2 linked regions of the Drosophila melanogaster genome follow. The protein of the gene in region 2 purifies or fractionates together with the protein of the main gene of each other region. This does not show direct contact. Each region holds a gene or a part of one and is shown on either strand. Other genes may lie near its edges.

Evidence for each region. Proteins that work in one complex are often made in the same cells at the same time.
Region 1: the proteins of OdsH (region 2) and CG5446 purify together in Drosophila melanogaster (affinity purification with mass spectrometry, with the first as the bait; one large-scale study listed by BioGRID). This does not show direct contact.

What each region holds. Positions count from the first base shown.
Region 1 is NT_033779.5:12,425,422-12,429,344, forward strand, and holds CG5446 (uncharacterized protein), read right to left. Parts: upstream 2,289-3,923; 5' UTR 2,147-2,288; coding exon 2,048-2,146; intron 1,967-2,047; coding exon 1,805-1,966; 3' UTR 1,210-1,804; downstream 1-1,209. Other genes in the region: Fam92, read left to right, coding at 1-62, 118-588, 640-915; Trm1 (tRNA methyltransferase 1), read left to right, coding at 2,636-2,662, 2,722-3,176, 3,240-3,923.
Region 2 is NC_004354.4:17,788,386-17,794,773, reverse strand, and holds the start of OdsH (Ods-site homeobox), read right to left. Parts: upstream 3,765-6,388; 5' UTR 3,708-3,764; coding exon 3,326-3,707; intron 1-3,325.

The DNA.
Region 1 (3,923 bases), on a different chromosome or scaffold from region 2:
ATAAGGAGGTACTACGTCAGCGCCAGATGCTTGAGCTCAAGTCAAAGTTTTCTGCGAACAATGTGGGTATTAAAACGAACAATTTACTTCTTATATAATTCCCAAAACTTACCGTAGAGTGCCGCCGATTCGGAGCTGTTTAAGGCCAAAATGGAGGTGCAGCGCACAAACAAGGAGATAGACGACATTATTGGCAACTTCGAGCAGCGGAAGTTGCGCGACTTAAAGCAGATAATCAGCGATTTTATACTGATCGCCATGAAACAGCACACCAAGGCATTGGAGATACTCAGCGCAAGCTACTATGATATTGGAACCATTGATGAGCGCGACGATTTCATTGAGTTTCAGAAACTCATGAAGACCAAAGAAGAGCTGGCTTCCAGGAAAACTGCACTCAAAAAGGGACTGCGCTCCCAGTCGATGGATAGCTTGGAGCACGAGCACCTGGTCAGTCCGCTCAAGAGGCGCCCGAAGTTGTCCAGGAGCAATAGGAATCTGACGGGAGCCGGAATCAATCATGGAAGTAAAACAGAACCCGAAGATGAAACCGACGAGCAGGATGAAGAGGAAGATGATGAAGATGAGGTATGATTTGGCATGATTATGGAATGATAGAATAACTCCATTCCTCCCAAGGAAACCGAGCAAAGTGGCGAAGAGGACGAGGAATCTGGAACGGCAACGGATGACGAGAGGGAACCCACGCAGCCGGGCAACCAGGTTCCTCCGCGGGAGAATGTTTTTGGGGCCAAGATCCGATCTGCCAGCAAGGATATAGCCACGCCATCGACCAGTGCCAGTGCCACTTCTGCTCCTTCGAAGCCCAGCAGACAAACGGTCAAACATCCATTCAAGGCGGTGGCCTCCACCCATGTAAGGCTGCAGAAGCAGTTCCACGTGCCCCAGCACTAGCACTCAAATTATGACCAGTAGTAGAGTTCCTAGAGCTCACATCAGTATTGCAGGCACATTCTGGAATCGTAGCAAGAGCTTAAATAAAATTGAATTAGGAACATACTTCTAAGGGTTTATCTTAATTGGTTTTTGTAACCCCGCAGTCTCAGAGCTTCCTTTCATAATTTAATCAGAATGTATTACCACTCTCTATCTCATTGCCTTAAAAAACATGATATGTAGAAGCAACACAAATTGCAATTAATATTCGAAAATCATTCTGGTCCACAAATCAATGTTGATTTTCCTTTTAAAAGTAGGGATTGTTATATAGCACTCCTTGCCATTCAGCGCTGATTTCCATACACTTTTTATTAATGGACACGGGTCACGATTTGCATTATTTGTCCCAGATAAACAATACTAAATATATGCATATCATAACTAATCAAGCGGAAATGACGCGCTTCTCTTCCCCTTTTCGCAATAAACTTTCAGGTGAGGAAACACAAATCGGGAACTGGTCGCCTGGTAACCGTTGTTAAATCGAAGTCCTGAACACCCAAATAGCAGGGAATTTACAATTCTTGAATTTTTAATTTATAAATAGAAACTAAACGGCAATAATTCAAAATTATTGGCCATTGCTCACAAAAGAATTACTTTACTTAAATTATGATGTGCCCCGACCGGGCGAAACTTAAAACTAAGCAATAAATGGATGAGCAAATGTGTTCTTTTCTTCATTTCTTGGGGAGCAGCTGGGTGCGGAGGAGATTAAATGAATGTGAGAACCTGGAATTGTAAACTTGATACGGGTGACTGGGTGCCAGGTGTTCGATGTATGTATCTAATGGTATTGGGATGCACTTTCCGAATGGGCGTGGCCGTGCCAGCGCTACGGATCTCATTTCTCCGGTCCCTGACCCTCGATCCCGGCCTGGTTCATCAGATCCGCAATGCTCTTCTCCAGATCGTCGATGCGGTTGCCCATGTCATCGATGCGCGTTATTATCTGGTCCGACATCGTCTGGAACTTGTCCTGAACGTTCTGCAACAGATTTTGTACCTGATAACAGGAGGCAGGTTTACTGGGTGCTCATTTGGTGTCTCTATTTACTGGGTGGTTCCCGGTTCGGGCATTACTCACGTATATGGTCAGCTCCTGCATGTTTTTGGGGTCCGCATTGCTGTTCAGGGAGTAGTTCTGGTCCAGATCGCTGTCCATCTCGTTGCGCAGATCGGTCATTCTGTGGCTTCTTTGTGGCACTGTATAAAAGTACAAAAATGCTATCACTTCTAGCTCTTTTGCTTCTGTTTGCGGCTGCGGCTGTTTCACTTCTGCAAATTAATTTCTTTATCAAGCATAGGGGCGGACTTTGGTTCGATAGTCCTTTCGATAATCCTGGTGGTGGCAAAGTAGCTAGCTTCAAGTTTTATTTTCCAGTCATATTTAATGTCAATTTATTATTTTAATTTATTTTAATCTTTAAATAATTCAAATAAATATTAAGAACCATTTTTATTCAACATCATTTTATGGGATGTATTATTACAGAGAATATACCCAAATTGTAAATTTTGAAACTAAATTAAACTTAAATATAATTCTGTAATGTTTATTTCGTATTTCATATAAAAAACAACAAATTTGTGTATATTTTTAGTTTTAAAGCTTAATAGCTAGTAGCTTACGTTTTTCAACACTGCCCCACGTGTATTCTTTTAACTCATCCAAATGGAAGTGGACGAGGAAAAGCCGCAGGTTCTTAAAGAAAAACACATTATAAATAAACCACATTAAGCTAAGCATTACGATTGCAGATTATTGCTGAAAATCCCAACGAAAACGTGATACGCGAACGTAATGCGGAGATCGTTTCCGGCGGCAATGTGTTCTACAATCCTGTCCAGGAATTCAATCGAGATCTGAGCATTGCTGCTCTGAATGTTTATCGACAGAGATTGACCAAGGAGCGGAGCGAAAAGGCGCTCAAAAAGCAGCGGAAGAAGGTCAAGGAACAGGAGGATGAGAAGACCACTCCCGTTCCCGAGGATCCACCTGTTTATGAGGCCGGTACTCGATATGAGGATGGACTTCGGATCCTGGAGGCACTGGCAGCCACCGGTTTGCGTAGCATCCGTTACGCGCAGGAAATCGCCGGTGTACGCCAGATCGTGGCCAACGATCTTTCCCGCCAGGCAGTGGCCTCGATCAACACAAACATCCGGCACAACAAGGTGGAGGAGCTGATCGAGCCCAGTCACTCCGATGCAATGTAGGTTTATAATTAAGCTATTGGCACACGGTATAAAATGGGGCATTCCAATACATCGTACAGGACCCTCATGTATCTTTCGACGCAACCCGAGAAGCGTTTTGATGCAGTTGACTTGGATCCGTACGGATGTCCCAATCGCTTTTTGGATGGCGCTATGCAGTGCCTGGTGGACGGCGGCCTGCTGCTGGTGACAGCCACCGACATGGCCGTGCTGGCCGGAAATGCTCCGGAAGCTTGCTATGTAAAATACGGATCGGTTCCGCTGCGGATGAAGTGCTGTCACGAGATGGCATTGCGCATTTTGCTGCACTGCATCGAGAGCCACGCGAACAGGTACGGCAAGTACATCGAACCACTACTGAGCATATCAGCGGACTTTTACATCCGGATATTTGTGCGTGTGTACGTCGGCCAGGCCCAATGCAAGCTGTCGATGAGCAAGCAGTCTTGGATATACCAATGCACCGGATGTGAGACCTTCACGCTGCAGCCCTTGGGCATAACCAAGCCAAATCCCACGGCTGGTAATCCCCAGCAGCTGAAGTTCGGAATTCCCACTGGTCCGGCGGTCAACTCGCAGTGCGAACATTGCGGTCACAGGCATCATCTGGGTGGACCCATCTGGTCGGCACCGATTCATAACCCCGAATTTGTGCAGGATCTTTTAACGGCGGTCCAGGAGACCACCTTGCAATCGCTGGGAACCCAGAGACGAATCGTTGGAGTTCTTTCCATGGTCCAAGA
Region 2 (6,388 bases):
TCACATCTGATCCTGTGTCCACCAGACAGTTGATGATAATCCCATTTATGATTACTGGCTTTGTTCGTGCCCTATCAACGTGAATGCGCATGCTGTTTACTTTTTCCGGACACTTGCTTGAGATATGGCCCTCTTGATTACAGCTGAAACATTTGGTAGGAAGTGTACAATCCTTTCGTTTGTGTTCCCTCGAACCACAGTTGAAGCAGTGATCTGCTTTTACACCTTGTGTAATTTGCTTTGGTTTTGGTTGAATATTCGGCTTGTCAACAATATTCAGACTCTCGTAGATTTCGAATTCTTGCTTTAATTCCTTAAGAGTTTTACAACGGAGCATAGCACCCTTATACTCCTTTTTAATGTCGAGGCCGTTTACGATATGAGTTATCAAAGCAACTGTTTCAACTTCACCTAAGGCTGCTATTTTCTTCATTTGTAACAAATAGTCGTGTAGAGTTTCCTCCCTCTTCTTCTTCCTGTCTTGCAACTTTTTGTGAATAACGGCGCTATTATAGCTGCCTGAAAATTCTTCAATTAGTAACTCTTTGAGTTCAGTGTATCCACTGACACATTCAGATTCTAAGAAAAGTTCTGCTGATCCAATCATCTTACTTCTGGCTTGAACATATTTTTGTTTCTCCGAAAGTTCATATGCCTCGGCATTTTTCTCAAAAATTTCAAACCATTTTTTAATAGGAATTGATTTGCCATCACAGTCACTTACAACTTTTTCAAATTTTTCTGCAGCGATAATTACTTGCCCCTCTTGTTTAGATTTTGCCAACATGCTCTGGGTTAGAGTATTCATCATTTGTTCAAATTTCTCTTCGACTTTAGCACTAGCGTCTTTATTCTGCTTCTTTGCCTCTGCTTCTCCTACAGGCGTCAACTTTTGATCTTCTTCGTTCATTTTTTCTTTTCTGCTTTCGTCCTCGCTTTCGTTCTCTAGAATTGCTTGTATTTGGTCGGTGTTAAGTTTTTTATTTGTAGGTGGTGTGCGTGTGAACATTCCGCGACAAGGCACTAACACCAGCAAACAACGACAATGTTCTAACGGCGCGACGGTAGTCGATTTTGCAGACGGCGCCACCGGTTAAAAGACAAATTTTGATTTTCGTTAGAAACGAATTTCACCACCTTTGCAATTTAATTGTTTTAAATTCCACAACAGCAAAACGACTTGAGTCTGTATGAGTTCAATCGATTTTTTCAACTTTCAATGCAGTAGACGTAGCCATAACTTTACAACTTTAAAGACTAAATCCACGCACACGACAATTTCAACTTTATCAGTTCTCTCTAGCAGCTTTCCCGACTTTTACCGACTTGTGTTCAAACAAAATCTGTACAACTGATTTTTCCAACTTTAAATGCAATAGATATAGCCACAACTTTACAACTTTTAAAGACTATACCCACGCACACAACAATGTCTTTTTTCTTTAAACAACTGCACCTTCATATAACCGATTTAGGACTGGACGAGCCCCCATGTAAGATTGTTTATTATTATTGTTTATTATTAATTTAATTATTAGTTTAATTCTAAATGCGGTAATTATGTAAAGTATTCTTAGTTTGTGACCGAACGACTGCTGCTGAGAACTCGACTGACTGCAACGCTGACTTCCACTCGACTCCACTGCTGCCTTGCGATCGTTCCTTCGATGACTGATTGTCGATAGCTTCGATTTCCGACAATCATGTTGCTGCTCAACAGCGCTGCCAACCGGGTTGTTGCCAGCCTTCAGCCTTACTCCATGTTACATACATATATTCTTTTTGTATTCTGTAGTTTCGGGGCCGCGACCGAAAACAATAAAAATGACTAATGGCAGCTAATTTCCCGTCGTCGTCGAGAAAAGTAGGAGGATGAGGCCCAGCAAGACGGCCAATTCGGAATCGGAATTGGATGCGCCTCAAAAGTGGTTCAATTGCCAAAAGACCAAAGACAAAGGGCGAGGTACGAAATAGGAAATACAGGCGTTTCCCGGATTGGGCGTGACCTGGGCAAAAAAAATATATAAAAAAACAAGGAGGAAAAGACACCGAAAGGAAAGCAAGACTTCACCTGTCACTGCTCATTTCCCATGCACCATTTCCCATTTCCCGATGCCAGGTGCCTCGTTCCATTCACAAATTGTGATTCCACTTTGTTCATTGATCTCAAGGCTTAGCAATATATTTAATCAGTGTAAGATAAAACTAAAATATATAAAAATAATATTTGCTTACAAAACGTAGTGCTTTGTTTTTTTGAAGAAAATGTTGATGTTTTTTTTTTTGGAAATGGTTTTGGTTGGTTTTTTTAAAAGTACAGCTTATTAAGAGCGTAACTTCTTAGAAAAATATTTGCTTGAACTGGCCTATAATATATTATCCCATTTTATTATGACATTCAACATTTTTTTAGTAAGTCAAACATTTTCCCACTATTTCAACTTACCTTGTCTACAATATGCTAATTTAAAGGCAAAAGGATTATCTCATCAGAAATGAATTAAATATCATCACCAACATAGTATGTATAAAAGCCCATTAAAGTTTTTAGTAATTATTCCAAAATGTCCTCTACATTTTAGCCGATCTCATCTAATCACCTACGTTTAGCGGTAATTCCCGGCAAGGACACTTCCGAAATGGCGTTATTTATGACCACCCACATTTTATGCCCGGATGTCCTGTGGCCCACTCATTTGTTCATTCATTACATTCATTAACTTTGCGTCGAGCTTGCGCAGATAATGGCATTTTCCAAATGGCCGAATTGGAATGGAAAACAAGTTTTCCGGCCGGGGCCTTTATGCCGCCGTGCACTTTATTCAATTTACCAATAAAATTTCAATCGAATTGCTCCTTTTAATCAATTCAGCGCCACCCACACACGCGCAACACACGCATTTAAATACGCGCATGCATAATTCGTGTGTTTTTATGTTTTTTGATCAATTTTTAATCAACAACAGGCGGCAGCAACAACAACAAAATCAACAACATTATTTGCCCGCAGGCCAGGACTTTCAATGTGTGTGTGTGTGCGTGTGTGTGTGTGCGTGTGTGTGTAGCTTTGTGTGTTTTTGCCAGCTTGTAATTGTTGTTGCGGCTTGTTGATTATTCACGTAATTAAATTTGGCCAGCAATTTCGTGTATTTTGGCCAAATGCGAAATGCGTAGTTTATAGAGTGGTTTTTTGTGCATGCTTTTATTAACCAGAGCTATGTTCTATTCATTATTTTCCATTGAATATTAGTTAATATTGACATAGAAATCGAATCAATCAATGTGAATAAGCTAGTAATATCGCCTATGAATTAATCAAACTTACCCGCGTGGATGTTGTGCGTGGGTGACACTGAGTCCAACTTAATACGCTGCTCACTGTGCGGATCCATGCCAAGCTCCCGATTGAGATCCCTTTGCTGTTGCTGCTGCTGCTGCATTGCCACTGCTGCGGCGGCCACTCTGGCTTGCTGTATCAGCGCCATTTGGCGGATCATATACACGGAGGACGAATTGGTTACGGAATTGGGACTAATTTCCGGATTTGGGGCATCCATGGACAAGTTGAGAACGGATGACCAGCCGCTCACTTGCATGTTGACAGCCGCTGCTGCCGCGTAAAGTTGCAAAGCGGATGAACCATGGGGATGTTGGACTTGTCCCCGAGCAGCAGCTGCCTGTTGCAGCTGTTGTATTAGCTGATCCATTTTCGTCTTAGCTTTTGATTAGCTCCCAATTTATGCGATTAACTCGTTTGCAATGAACACACACAATTCAATGCTTTTGCTGACACTGCAAATTAAACTAGTTCATTTTCCTTTAATATTGTCACCTCACTAGCTCAATGATTTCGATAACTCAATTCAACACTGACTCGATTGTTTCTTGCTTTCTTTCTGATATTCCCTCATAGCTCTTGGTTAGCCTTACGTTAACTGCAGGATAGTGTTTACTTCGGGTTAGCGCTAACTTCGCTTTAATCAGCAGGCTCTTTTGGTTAACTTCGATTTTTTTTTTTTTTTGTTGGGACTCAATTCACAAGGCACTAAAACACACACACACCGAAAAAAAAGGCGACAATCCTGGCCGCACAGTGGAACGTAGCAAGCGAAATGTGGCGTAGCGTGCACAGTGGAGCGGATCGGCGGCCCACTGGGCAAAAGGCTGAACTCAGTGCAGCGGCGGCGACAAACAAATTGATTCGAATTAAAATTACGGCCAGCGAGTTGTGGAGTTTTGTGGAGACAATCGCGAAGTCGGTGCGAGCGGGATGGCGCGACAGGCGCGTACAAATGAAAAATATGGAGTTCGTTTCGTCTTCTTCGTGTTTGTTTAATAAAAATGCGCATATGTGTGTATGTGAGATGGGGGCACCACTACAGTCAGTGGGAAAAATGGGGAAAAAAGTGTCACCAATGTTGGTTGGTTGCTCGTGGTTTGAGTCTGTGCTAAAAAGTGAGATGGCGACACCTGCTGCTGCAGCAACAACAACAACAACAACTACTGCAGCCGCCGCAGCGGCAACAACAACAAGCTCATTTTCAACACTTGACGGTCAGCTGCCGTTGTTGTAGTTGTTGTTCTTGTTGTTTTAGGGTCGCATGCGCGCAAACTGCAAGCAAAAATCATTAACGTTCAAATTTATGTGCGCCAAAGCGAGAAATAACAAAACGAAAAGCGAAAAAAGGCAGAGAGCCCAGCGGAAGAAGAAGAAGAAGAAGAAGACGAGACTGAAGCAGCAGCAGCAGCAGCGGCGGCGTCGACGTCGACAGCGCAGCCGTGGCAATAAAAAGAAAAATGGTTTCACTTAACAAACATGCCAAGGCGCCGTCCGCAAAAACCCACCACCCACTGGAACCACCCACACCACCACCCACTTAACCCCCCCGCGGCGCACGCTTAACCCCGCGCTGGCCCACAAATGGTCAATGCAATAATGGTATTTTTCTGCCTGACTAAATTGTGCGACAGAGAGGCAAGGCGGGTAAGAGCGAGAGAGAGCGGGATAAAAGAGAAGAGAGAGCGAGCGAGAGCGTGCAATGCGCAACAGGGAAAATGAAATGAAAAACGCCAAAAAAATTGATTTAAAGTGAATCAGTGTGCGTGTGTGTGTGTGACTGTGCGAGCGTAACCCACCAAAGAGCGCGAACGAAAGAGAGCGCAATAGTCAGAGAAGCCCGAGAGTGAACACGAGTGCGGGCGAGACATACATAGTTCAGCGGCAGGCGTGGCCACAGAAAAAATAGGGGGAAATTTCATATTAATATGATTATGGCCAATTTAAGACCTGGCAAGAAGAAGACGGCTAGCGAGCAGGAAGAAGAGAAGTAGTGGCAAAGAATGGAGAAGAAAGAAGTGCATGGCTGAATCGCTGTGGGTTGTAGAAGGGGGGTGCTTTTCCCTCAAACAGAGAAGAAAGAGAGGGCAAGAGCTGCGCTGCTCCCTACGAGAGCAGAGCAAAAACTGACATTTTATTGATTGTTTTATGCGATTATAATGTAATAATGTCTTAAATATGTGGGGGAATGGTTGGGGGCGAACCGGGAACCCCCCATAAATACACCCACTTTTCCGAGGCAGTTTCAATGCGCAGCTGCCGTCTTTGGAAAATGAATTATGGCTGCAGGAAAGGGACGGAGCACGACTTTAGCCAGGGTAATGAAAGGCGAGAGCGAGCGAGAGAGGGAGATAGAGTGGGCAGGAGTGACCACCCAAAACCCCCCCACTGAACTTCCACCCGTAAGCCCCCTGAACATTTTCTGGACTCTCCTTCATCATTGCTTTGTGATTGGTAAAAAAGAAAAGGGCAAAAGGAAATTCCATTTGCAGCTTCTCCTTTTTTCGTTTTCGGTGGGCTATCGCCACATGAAGATCTATATAATAACCCACCCGCTTTCCCGAACTCAAGCTCCTCGAACCAAAACCATTACGCCGTAGCCGCACTCAACTCAATTCAATTAATTTTCACTTGATTTTTCCACACACAAACAAATTTTCATTTAATTTGCTGCGGGGCGTTGGTTGCCTGACTTTCCTCTCGCTTTTCCCCACCGCTTTTCCTCTCGCTTCTCCTCCAGCATTTTCCTCATCGCCTTATCGGACGCCATTTTCTTGCGCTTGATTTTCTATTAAGTTTTCCCGGCTCTATTCCCCGAACAACTTTTCGCCGCTAATAGGGGCACTCAGACCTCCCCCCCCCACCACGCCGCGACAACCCAATCTTTGTCTTCTTCTTCACTCAGTTAGAAGTTGTTGGAAAGTAAATTTTCTTGTGACACTTTGTTGCGATTTGATTGTTATGCTGGGCCATTATTTCCGCCTGCTTCTCCTGGAATTTCCGTAGTTTTACTTAACATAATTAATTGTCATTGGAAATTAGACGAAAGTC